Linked DNA regions of Drosophila melanogaster. The protein of the gene in region 2 purifies or fractionates together with the protein of the main gene of each other region. This does not show direct contact. Each region holds a gene or a part of one and is shown on either strand. Other genes may lie near its edges. The genes, in order: CG8064 and CG9799.

The links.
Region 1: the proteins of CG9799 (region 2) and CG8064 purify together in Drosophila melanogaster (affinity purification with mass spectrometry, with the first as the bait; 2 studies listed by BioGRID). This does not show direct contact.

Annotation. Positions count from the first base shown.
Region 1 is NT_033777.3:18,281,927-18,287,290, forward strand, and holds CG8064 (uncharacterized protein), read left to right. Parts: upstream 1-1,733; 5' UTR 1,734-1,807; coding exon 1,808-1,965; intron 1,966-2,029; coding exon 2,030-4,640; 3' UTR 4,641-4,698; downstream 4,699-5,364. Other genes in the region: eIF1A (eukaryotic translation initiation factor 1A), read left to right, coding at 1-10; CG14312 (uncharacterized protein), read right to left, coding at 1,145-1,431, 1,489-1,528; CG7131 (uncharacterized protein), read right to left, coding at 5,039-5,094, 5,156-5,364.
Region 2 is NT_033777.3:13,384,996-13,390,465, forward strand, and holds CG9799 (uncharacterized protein), read right to left. Parts: upstream 3,715-5,470; 5' UTR 3,607-3,714; coding exon 2,448-3,606; intron 2,385-2,447; coding exon 1,953-2,384; intron 1,893-1,952; coding exon 715-1,892; 3' UTR 653-714; downstream 1-652. Other genes in the region: CCHa2 (CCHamide-2), read right to left, coding at 4,678-4,764, 5,053-5,300.

The DNA.
Region 1 (5,364 bases), 4.9 Mb from region 2:
CAACATCTGATTAACAAGAAACAAAGTGGCGCCGGGTGGGACGACGACGACGGCGGGAGCGTCTGGAACGTCTGTCTCGGCAGCAGCACCAGCAGAAGCGGAATCAGTTCGAGAATAGTAGGGAATTTAATCAATTGTAAAAAGCAGAAAGCCGGTAGCCCCGAGTCCTGTTCGAAGTCATAGCCAACATCCAATCTAATCCAATCCTAAACATTTATCCGGCATCCACAAAGCGGCGCAGCGGCAGTTAAATTGCGAAACCAAACCTATAGTATCAGTTCATTTATAGCCATTTTTAATGTTCTAATCTACTCTGAAATTGTTTTATTCCGAAAATCCAAATTGAAACGGTTTGATTTATGGCCGCCTTAAACAACAAATTATTAATTACAAATAGTAGAACTGTTACGCTGTGCAAGAAATGGAACATTGCGAAACATAAACTAATAATATTTGAATTAAAAACGAAAAAACAAAGAAAAACAAACGGATATTAGTTATTATTTATCTACCAACAAATCTATCCAACTAAATGAAAAAGTAAAAAAAAAAAATAAAAAACATAACGATATATTAATGAAATCTACAACTCATACACATAAAATAGGAGTTTAGCGAACACTAATATTTAAGGCAAAAGGATATATAATAATAATGATCAAAAGGCGAGATGTGAGGTTAGCTAGCGAGTAAGCAAAATCAAATCCATGAGTTTTCGCCAGATATATCTGCGCCCCATCCCCCCAAGTGTTCCTTTTCAGCGTTTCGTGTCATGTCTTTTGTTTTTATTATACACCTGCGTTATATTTTGATGGTTTTCCATATAGCAATATCCAAATCATTTTCCAAACGCCCCATTTTCTTTTTTGCTGTCCATGCATTCAGTTTTCCCTTTTCAGTTTAGTTGTAGTCTAATTCGAACCAAACAAAAAACAATGGATGTGTAAAAAGTGATGAGACTATTGATTTTTGTAATGAGTTGAACTCCAATAAATGGCGTTGATTAACCCGAATGCAAAACAGCACACGTTCCAAGGCTTTTTCACTTTTTGATAGTAAAATTCATGCTACAATTTATTATTAAATGCAGAAACTCGTACATAATTGTGTGTAAGCGGAAAACCGCCATCGAATTTGGCATCGTTTACAGCTCCTCGTGGCGCGAAGGGAACTTCTTGAGTATGGCATGGTAGAGACTGTAGAAGGCGTACACCGAAACCGTGATGATCACCAGCAGAGCTCCGCCGAACGCGATGCTCAGGAAGTTTCCATCGATGATGCCCGCCGAGCGGTGGCGCTTGGTGGAGAATATCTCCTCCGTGGTCGCCGGGTTGTTTTGCTGCTGGGACGTCCGCTCGGCCATCAGCCGCTTCATGGTGCTCAGCCGCTCCCGCAGAACTTCCACGGACTCGGTGTCCAGGTCAGAGGTTCCTAGAGCGATTTTGTTTACTTTCTGTTCTCATTAAAATGAATATATGTTATTAATACCTGTCGACTGGGATGCGGAAGCACTGGGATAGGTAGACATATTTGGATCTCTGTTCTGTGCTATTTGTGAAAAAACTGCAGCTTGAGCTGGCCAAAAACAGAGTTATCTTAAACGTTTTGGGGTGGGTTTGTTAGATTTTCGAGTTTTAAAAGCGCAGGCGCGTAACGGAAATCGCGCGGCGTTGCCACCCAATCGCGCTGCCAACTGCTTTGATTTGCGAAGAACAAATCGATAGAAACGGCTGGCAATCGATTGGGAACCATCTCCAAACACGTGAAACGCGATTTTTGATTTACCTTATGTGTTTTGAATGCTGCAATGGGTTTAACTAAACAATATTTGGCCTACCGGGCTATAGACAGCTTTAATATCATCACCTCCGGCCGCGCCAATGTGAACTTTGCCGTTGTGGACAAGACAGAGGGTCGATATGTGGCCGCTCCAGCTGCTGAAAATGTGATCGTGTGGGATTTGCGGTAAGGCTATTTAAGCTTTTCCTTTACTTCGTTTTTAAACTGACATGAATTTATATTTCCCCAGAATGGGCGATCGCAAGCTGACGCTGCGCCGCGAAAAGTTCGAGGTCACCTCCCTGAGGGTCTCGCCAGATCACCTGCACATTGCCGTTGGCTATGCGGATGGCATGGTGCAGATCTTCGATCTCAGCTCGGACAGGTACTACGATCCCATCTGTACGCTGGCACTCCACAAGAACGCTGTTAGCATCCTGCGGTACGATTTGCAGGGCATGCGTCTGGTGAGCGGAGGCCTGGACACCGAATTGGTGGTCGTCGATGTGGTGGAGCAGGCGGGAAGAGCTCGATTGAGTGGCCACAATGCCGCCATCACGGACGCCCATTTCCTGCAGCGTCTGGTAGACGAGAGCATAGTGGTAAGCTGTTCGAAGGACACGCAGATCAAGTTCTGGAACCTGGAGACGCAGTTCTGCTTCAAGACAATCGTGGATAACCGCACCGAAGTCTGGGCACTGGCCTTTATTGGGAATCTAATGGTAGCTGGCGCCGGCGAAAGCGGCATGAATGTCTACCGCCTGAGAAAGCACGACGGTGCCATCACTGAAACTCTGGAGTCTGCAGTTGAAGGCCTGTCTATTGATGACGAGGACACCATCAGCCCCATTAGCGTGAGCAACTGCGGCACCATCCAGCGCGCTGGAAAGGGCCGCACCGTCAACCTGGTGACCGATCCCAGTGAACGCGTGATCAGCTGCCACGGCACTAATGATCTAATCGAGAACTTCTACATCTGCACGCCGGACGAGGTAAAGAAACGACTGGCTAAGCGTCTAAAGAAGGAGAAAAAGGTCGCCGAAGATGAGGGATCAGACGAAGCAAAACTGTCCACGGAACAATCGCTGAGCGATGAAATCAAGCGACTGGAAAGCATTCGTGCCAAGCAAAAGATCAAGTCCATAGATGTGGTTTTGGGCCAGAACCAGGAGCTGCGTGTCCTTGTTAGTTTGGCCAACAACAGTCTGTGCTTGTACTCGCTGGAGGCGTCTATCAAAACGCGCAAAGCAACCGATCCCAGCGCGAAACTACTTAGGTCACTTACTCGTCTGGGGCACCAGTCCGAAGTGCGATCCGTATGCTTCAGCAACGATTCCCTGGCCATTGGTTCCGGAGCTGGAGAATCCTTTAAGTTCTGGGATCGAGATGCCATGCAGTGCCTGCGTACTGTGCCAACGGACTACATCCTCTGTTCGAAGTTTGTTCCCGGCGATCGCTACGTCCTTCTGGGCATGAAGAGTGGCAAATTGCTCATTGTGGACGTGGCAGCGGCTGATATAGTGGAGGAGATTCCGGCTCACGAAGGCGAACTTTGGTCCATTGCCATACTGCCCGATCAAAAGGGTTGCGTCACTGGCAGCGGCGATACCACGGTTAAGATCTGGACATTCGAGCTGATCGATGCCGGCGAGGGTGCTGCCCAAACCAAGGTGCTGTCCCTGCTGCACAAAAACACACTGAAGCTGGAGGAGACCGTGCTCTGTTTGGCCGTTAGTCCGGACATGAAGTACCTGGCTGTGGGCTTGTTGGACGCCACCGTGAAGGTTTTCTTCCTGGACACCTTTAAGTTCTACCTATCACTGTACGGCCACAAGTTACCTGTGATCTGCCTGGACATCTCCTACGACTCCAATCTCATTGTAACAGGATCAGCAGATCGTAACGTAAAAGTTTGGGGCTTAAATTTCGGAGACTGTCATCGTTCCATTTTTGCACACGACGATTCGGTAATGAGTGTACAGTTTATACCCAGGACGCACATGTTCTTCACGTGTGGAAAGGATGGAAAGGTGAAGCAGTGGGATGGCGATAACTTCGAGAAGATTCTTACCTTACCTGGACACATAGGCGAAGCGTATTGTCTGTCCGTTTCTCCGAATGGCCGATATTTGGTCACCTGCGGATCAGATCGAACTCTTAGAATGTTCGAGCGAACAGATGAGACTATTGTGTTGAAGGATGTGCAGGAGGAGGAGCGAGAGCAAATGGAGAATGAGCAACTGGCCACGGGCGAGGACAACACAGTTCCCTTGCTTCCGGGTCTGAAGATGCCGTCACGCAAAACAGTGGGTTCCGAGCAGTCTGCTGAATCGATACTCGAATGTCTGGAGATATCCAAACAGTTCGAGCTCGAGGCGGAGGAGAAACCCGAGTTACATCCTCTGATGCAGGCTTTGCAGGTTAAGAATCCCGAAGACTTCCTGGTCAGCACCCTGATGAGGATACGTGCGTCCGATCTGGAGGAGGCACTTCTTCTACTCCCCTTCTCCACTGTGTGCGAAGTCCTCGAACGCCTGCCCACTCTGCTGACCCAGCGACCCGACCAACTGGAGCTGCTTTGCCGCGTCACCATCTTCCTGTTCAAGGTGCACATGAAGCCCATTTCGGCGGCTAAGAACATGAAGCCGCTGCTCGTCAAGCTGCTCTCGATGCTCAAGCGGGACGTTGGTCAGCTGCGCGATGTCTTAGGATGGAACCTGCACGGTCTGGCCCTGCTGCAAACGGAAGTGGAGCAGCGCGATGGTGTCCAGCTCTTCAGGGAGGCCACACAGACCCGCAAGAAACGGGATAAGAAGCGGAGAGAAGCCAGCAAGCGGAGGCTGCAGATTCAAATGGTTTGAGACGCAATACCCTAGACTTAGTTGTATAAATCCAATTAAAACGATTAGTTATTCCGTGATTTACTGGATTTCTATATTTCTGTGAACAGAGTTTAATTTGACAATGAGGAATACACCATAATTCATAAGCCATGTATTGGATCACCGGCAATTTTCTGTATATGCATATGGGATTGACAAAATCGGATAAAAGCGATGGTGCAGCGAAGCAAACGGATAGCGCCGCTCGATTAATGGATGCAGTTCGCAAAGCGAACCCTTTGACAAGCATTTACAACAGAAAACAACATATCTCTTTAGAAGACGTGGACTGAAAGATTTAGCTTGAACATAAAACGTAGAACTCGGGATGAGCTTGGGAGACGGATTCTTCAGAGCAACCATAATGTATTTCCAGGCTAACAAATGCCGGCTTTGGGAAAGGTGCCATCGTTAGCGCCAGTTCCACAAGGACCTGTTTGGGATTATGCATTTTTTTTTATAAATGCTAGGAAGTAAATCTGGTGATAACCTACCTCCGCAGCGCTGGAAGGCACCTGGCGGTCCGTAGCTAAGTTTCTGGATGGTACACTTCTCAATAGGTCCGGTTGGCCGGCAGTAGGATGTGTACCTGGCCCACGGCAGTGGCTCCTTGGGCGGCACACAGTTCGGCAAGTAGCTGAGTTTGTATGTGGTGCACTTTTCCATGGGTCCCTCGTTCCGGCAGAATCCCTGTCGTGGTCGG
Region 2 (5,470 bases):
AGGTATAAATCAAAGAAACTTATCAGATATATGCACTATGTCTATAACGCGTGGTTGTTTGTAAACCAACATTTTTCTTTATGTTTATGTTGCGTTGGATTGTCAAAGAATCGAAAACGGAAACTGAAACTAAACTAAACTGAAATTGAAATTAGCCGCCACTAGAACCGTATCTAAAGTCCGCGCCAGCGAACACGTCTAGGAACAAGTTTAAGTTATTTAATTCCAGCATAAATAAAAGCGTTAGTTTAAACGGATATAACAAATAAATAATTAATACACAATTTCAACCCAAATGCTGTATATTCTTCTTCCCATAGTTCCAGTATCACTTGCCTTCCTCCGGCTATCTATTGATTCCATAATCGCTGCATAGTCACCCGCAGGTGTGAATCATTCGAATAATGCCAATTGGAGATATCAGGCATATGGCAGTAGTTTCGTCTTGAGTACATTATTTAAAATGCTATCTGGGATAAGTAAAAGATAAAAAGAAAGATAAGGATAGTTTGGGATATATATGGTAATGCCATTAAATCGTTAAGGATATAATGAGGGATTTTGTAGTTGTTGAGGATTATAAAGCATCCTATAAATGAATCTGCGGACCTGCCTGTCGCAAGGAATAACATCAAAAGCAAATTCAAAATGTAAAATGTTTTGTAAATTTATTTACAAAATTTCAAAATGAACTACAACATAATCTGGTGGAAACTAGTGCGCAAAGTTTCGGAGAGCGGCCACAACTCCAGTTCCATAGATGAGCTTCTCCTCCACACGCTGCCAAGCCTCCTGCTGCACCTGGGACACAGTGCGCAGCTCCTTTACCAAATCCGGGAACTCCGTCAACCCGAGACCGTGGGATCGCAAGAAGACGCTTAGATACGATTGAGCCAGCTCAAAGTTCAGATTGGTTCCAAACATGAACTTAACGAGTTTGAGGAACTGCAGCATGGCAAGGAGTGTTCCTCCAGCCTCCGGGTGCAGAGATTTGATCTCAAAGTCAACCATCGATGGTCCTAGTTGGGTCAAGTGCGCCACAGCCGATGCGAAGTCCAGGGAGTCAGCAGTTTCCTCCAGCAGCTGGCCAAAGGCAGTAAGATTGTTGAGAGTAGAAGCCTTCCGAATCCGGGATTCATCCTCCTCCTTCTGACCGTTCTCCACATCGAAGCGCAGTTCCAGTCCCGAAACCGTGGGCAGGAAGAATGGGGCCTGTTTGGGAGCTTTTGGTGGTGCCTTGGGCTTGTTACGTTGCTTGATTAGCTCCAAATCCAATAGATTCTGCCAACGGGATGCAGCCAACCCGGATAGCGTTATCAGTTCCTCGGACAGCTGCGTTGGAGTTTCGTACTTGGTGTCAACTAGCTCGCCGAGTTTTGACTCGTCCTCTTCGTCGATCTCTAGCTCCTTCATGCCATCTTCCAGTTCCATGGCATCGCACACATTCGTGGGCAATCCCACGTACGGAGCCGGCTCCAAAGGATCGATGGAGCGCAGGGAAATCTGATTAAACAGCGTCTTGTTGGCCCACAGGTAAATGCCCAAAAGTCCAACATGTGCGGTGGCCAGAAAGTCGCCATTAGGCGACATACTTAACGATACGCAAGGCGCCTCGACGCGGAAGTGATCCACCATGTAGGAGGAAGGTATGTCCCACACCTTGATCGTGGAGTCCATGGCGGCGGTGATCAGCCAGCGGCTATCCGGACTGAAAGTGAGGTCATTCAGCTTGGCTGTGTGACCGACGAACTTGCGAACAATGACCCTCGTGTGCATGTCTACGACAAAAATCTTGAATGTTTCCAGACCAATGGCCAGCATGGAGCTCTCTCGGTGCTGTCGAATCAGGGCGATTCCATCTGCCAGGCGTAGAGTCGCTAAGGGCTTGTCAACTGAAGGATGGTATGATTTTACAAATGTTTTATTAACTTATGTTGTAGGCAATTCCTTACCCTTTCCTTTGAATGACCAGAACTTGAGCAAGCCTTCCGAACAGCCAGAGATGACGGTTTGGTTAAGATTGTCGCTGGCCAAGCCGCGTACTGCCATCTTGTGGGCTGGAGAGCCATAGGTAGCCCGATGGAGTCCAGACTGGATATTAAAGCGCTCAATGTCGCCACTGCTATAGCCAATGATCACAAAGTTGCCACAGTGCGTCAGCACAATGCATGTGGTCTCGTTCTGGAAGTTGGTGCGGTTGCTGTTTTGGAACTGTTTCGGAACCAGGCGGTGCTCGCCCATACGGTTCTTGCCAAACGACCAGGTTGTCGTCTGAATAACGCCCGCATGGATGGCAGCGATGTTATCCCACTCCTTTTCGCGAGCCGTATCCGATGTGAACTCCAGTATGGGTGGCATTCCAAACTTATCGTGCTCAAAGCGATCTGCAAAGAAGAGTTGCCTATTAAAAATATTTTAAAGCGAGCAATAAAAGCCAAAACACTTACTCTTCTTCTTTGTGGCTTTTGGATTGTAGGTAGCCCTGCCCATGCTCTTGTTCAGCGATTCGGAAATGGTGGAGAAGACTCTCATGGTGCTGTCCTCGCCCGAAGAGAGAATGGATACGCCCGAGCTGCCGTGGTAGCGAATACAAAACGGCGGCTTTGTGTGTCCCTCGCGGATCCTCAGCTGTCTGGCACCACCATCTGGCATATCGAAAACAAACATCCTCATTGAATTGTCTGGTGAAGTGGTGAAGACCACGGGCTCGCTGGGCAGACAAATGGCCGTGGTCACCGACTCCTCGTGCGCTTGCAGCTGACCGGCTAACTTGCGCTCCTCCAGGTTCCAGAAGGCCATGTAACCATTGCTGCAGGCGGACACAAGGATTGGTGGGCCGTCGGTACGGAAGGAAAGGTTGGTGACCTGACCCCAATCCTGCTGGAAGCTCATAAGCACCTCGTCGAACTTAAGGTTAAGCAAGATAATAGTGCCATCCCCGTGTCCCACGGCCACGACATCCAAAGCAGGGGACGGTTCAATGCAGGTGATCCTGCTGTCGTGGTGACTCAAAGTGCACACCACACTGTTCTTCTTTATGTTCAAGATCTTTAGTTGGCCCTGCTGGGAGCCTAGTACTATTTTATTGATGTACGTGGGCGGATGGGTCACAGCTGTGATCTGGAACTCCTCAGACCGGAAGGGCACTTCCAAATAGACATCCTCGGTTGAAATATTCCACACTTTTAACACATTCTGCCTATCGATGGCTATCAAACTGGAACCAAAAGGCAGCAGGAGGTGGACATCTTTCTGGTGGCCACGGTACACGTGCCGGATGTGTTTGCCCGCCCGCCAGGCGTAGATACACTTGTTGCTCGCCGTGTACGTGTGCAGTCGATCCGTGGCCAGAGCCGTAATCTCGTCCGGATGCAATCCGCTAACGTGCAGCAGGCGAAAGTGGTTGGCGGTGTACACCTGAAAAGATCTGCCGATGCAGGTGATCAGCAAAGTGTCCCGACGACGCTGCACGTAGCGGGTGACTGCTGGAACCTGGTTGCTCACATAGCCGAGGGCTCGATTCCGCCGGAAGATGCAGCTGCTCTCCTTGAACACAGACTTCCGCTCCTCCGACTGTGGCTTATCCTCCGACCGCAGATGCGTCATTTTACTGTCCGAAATGTCTCTTTCTGTCTTTTTATCGATTTTTTAAGCTAATATAAACGATTTCCGCAACATGCCGAAAATGTTTACTGCCAAAACACGTGTGGCGAAGTGTGACCGGAGCTTGAAAACAATTCACCTAACCATGGTTAAATATACTAAATGAAATTTAGAAGGGGTATTCGTATTTTATTACACTTTGGCGCCAAATGATTATTTCAAAAATAAAATAACGATTTTCATTTAACCCAAAAAACTGCAAACTAAAAGTTACGAAATATTTATGTATGCGCTTTCAAGTAAGTTACAAATATTATTTGGAACAATTAGAAGAAAAATAGATTATTTATCAATTCTGATTATTTAGAAGCCAAAAAAAGTTTTCGTTTCATTGGAGGATTCGGGATGAAAATTTTGTTTGCCTAAATCTATTAGATTATGCAAAAAAACAACAATCGTTGAATTTGGATGCTTTTGTAGCACATTTTATTATATATTTAAACAAGCATCTCTTTATAAATAAAACTGTTGGGAACAATTTGTTAGTGTTGCGCAGCCGTAATATACATATACACCTATAATGATTAACATACACAGTTTACAAAGTTAATATGTATATATTTTGTATGTTAAATAAAATTACAACTACATATAGTCTTTCGCTTTCTTCGTAAATAAACATAAATAAAATATACGTATGTATTTAACATATGAACAGTGAAACACGCTGTCTTTGCCGTTTTCTTCGATTTATTTTTCGTCGTCTGCTCCTTTTTTTTTTTGACACTGAAATCCTTACCAGCCCCTAAAAATTTCAGTTGGGTTTTTTTTTAATGTGTTCGATGCTTATGCAATTAGCATAAAAATTGACTGCCTGGTATGTGTAGACATTTATCAAACATTTTATACAAGTTGCGAAAGTAATTAACATTCATAAGTAATTCATGTGTTGTCGCTGATGTTGTTGTTGTTGCTGTTACTGTATCTCTTGATGTTGTTGCTCTTGTTTTTGAGGCTTATTTCCGGTTTTTAATGTACGTTGTGGATATTTCTGTATTGATAACTTTTCCGGCCTTAGTTCACGCCATTCAATTCGGCGGAATTGGCCAAGGGATAATCAAGTTCACCCAGGCGAGAGGCGGGTCGGCGAGGTCGGTTAAACTAAAAGGGGAAACATTCGATAGTAAAAAGGGTTAAAATCAATCCTATTCAAATCGTTTCATTCAACCAGGAATCCCCAAACTAATTCATATTTTCATCAAGGAAAAAACTATGGTTTTAAATCGCATTAAAAGCCGCCGAAAAAGTATGCAAAATACATCCAAATAGATTTAAACTATTTTTAAGTTGGTTTTAATCTGGGTAATTTTAATCAATCACGAGTGTTTAACTGACTACTTTCATCTTTAAGTGCTGCCAAATGTAGAACGGGACATAAAGGTCACTTACCCATGATTTCATGATTTTGTAAAGCACCTGACGGGCGGGATAGTCATTAAAGTCGCCCTCGAGCGGCACCTGTTCATTTGGCGCCATCATGGGCAGTAGGCCATTCGGACGCACATAGTCCGGTTCCTGCCCCCCGGAGGCTGCCTCGCCCATTCCCCCGCCCACTCCCGTTCCAGACCCGGATCCGGGGCTCAGAGAGCGCTTGCCATGACCACCGTAGCACACATGACCGTAGGCCTGGCATCCCTCTGAAAAAGATTGAAAATATGTCAGGCAGTGTCAACCTAATTTAAAAGCACCCAAGAGCTTAAATAAAATAAATTAAATACAAGTGGATTCGAAATTATATTAGTAACACTATACATTAATAAATAAATTAACAAGCCAAACAATCACAATAAACTTTTCCGATCTCATT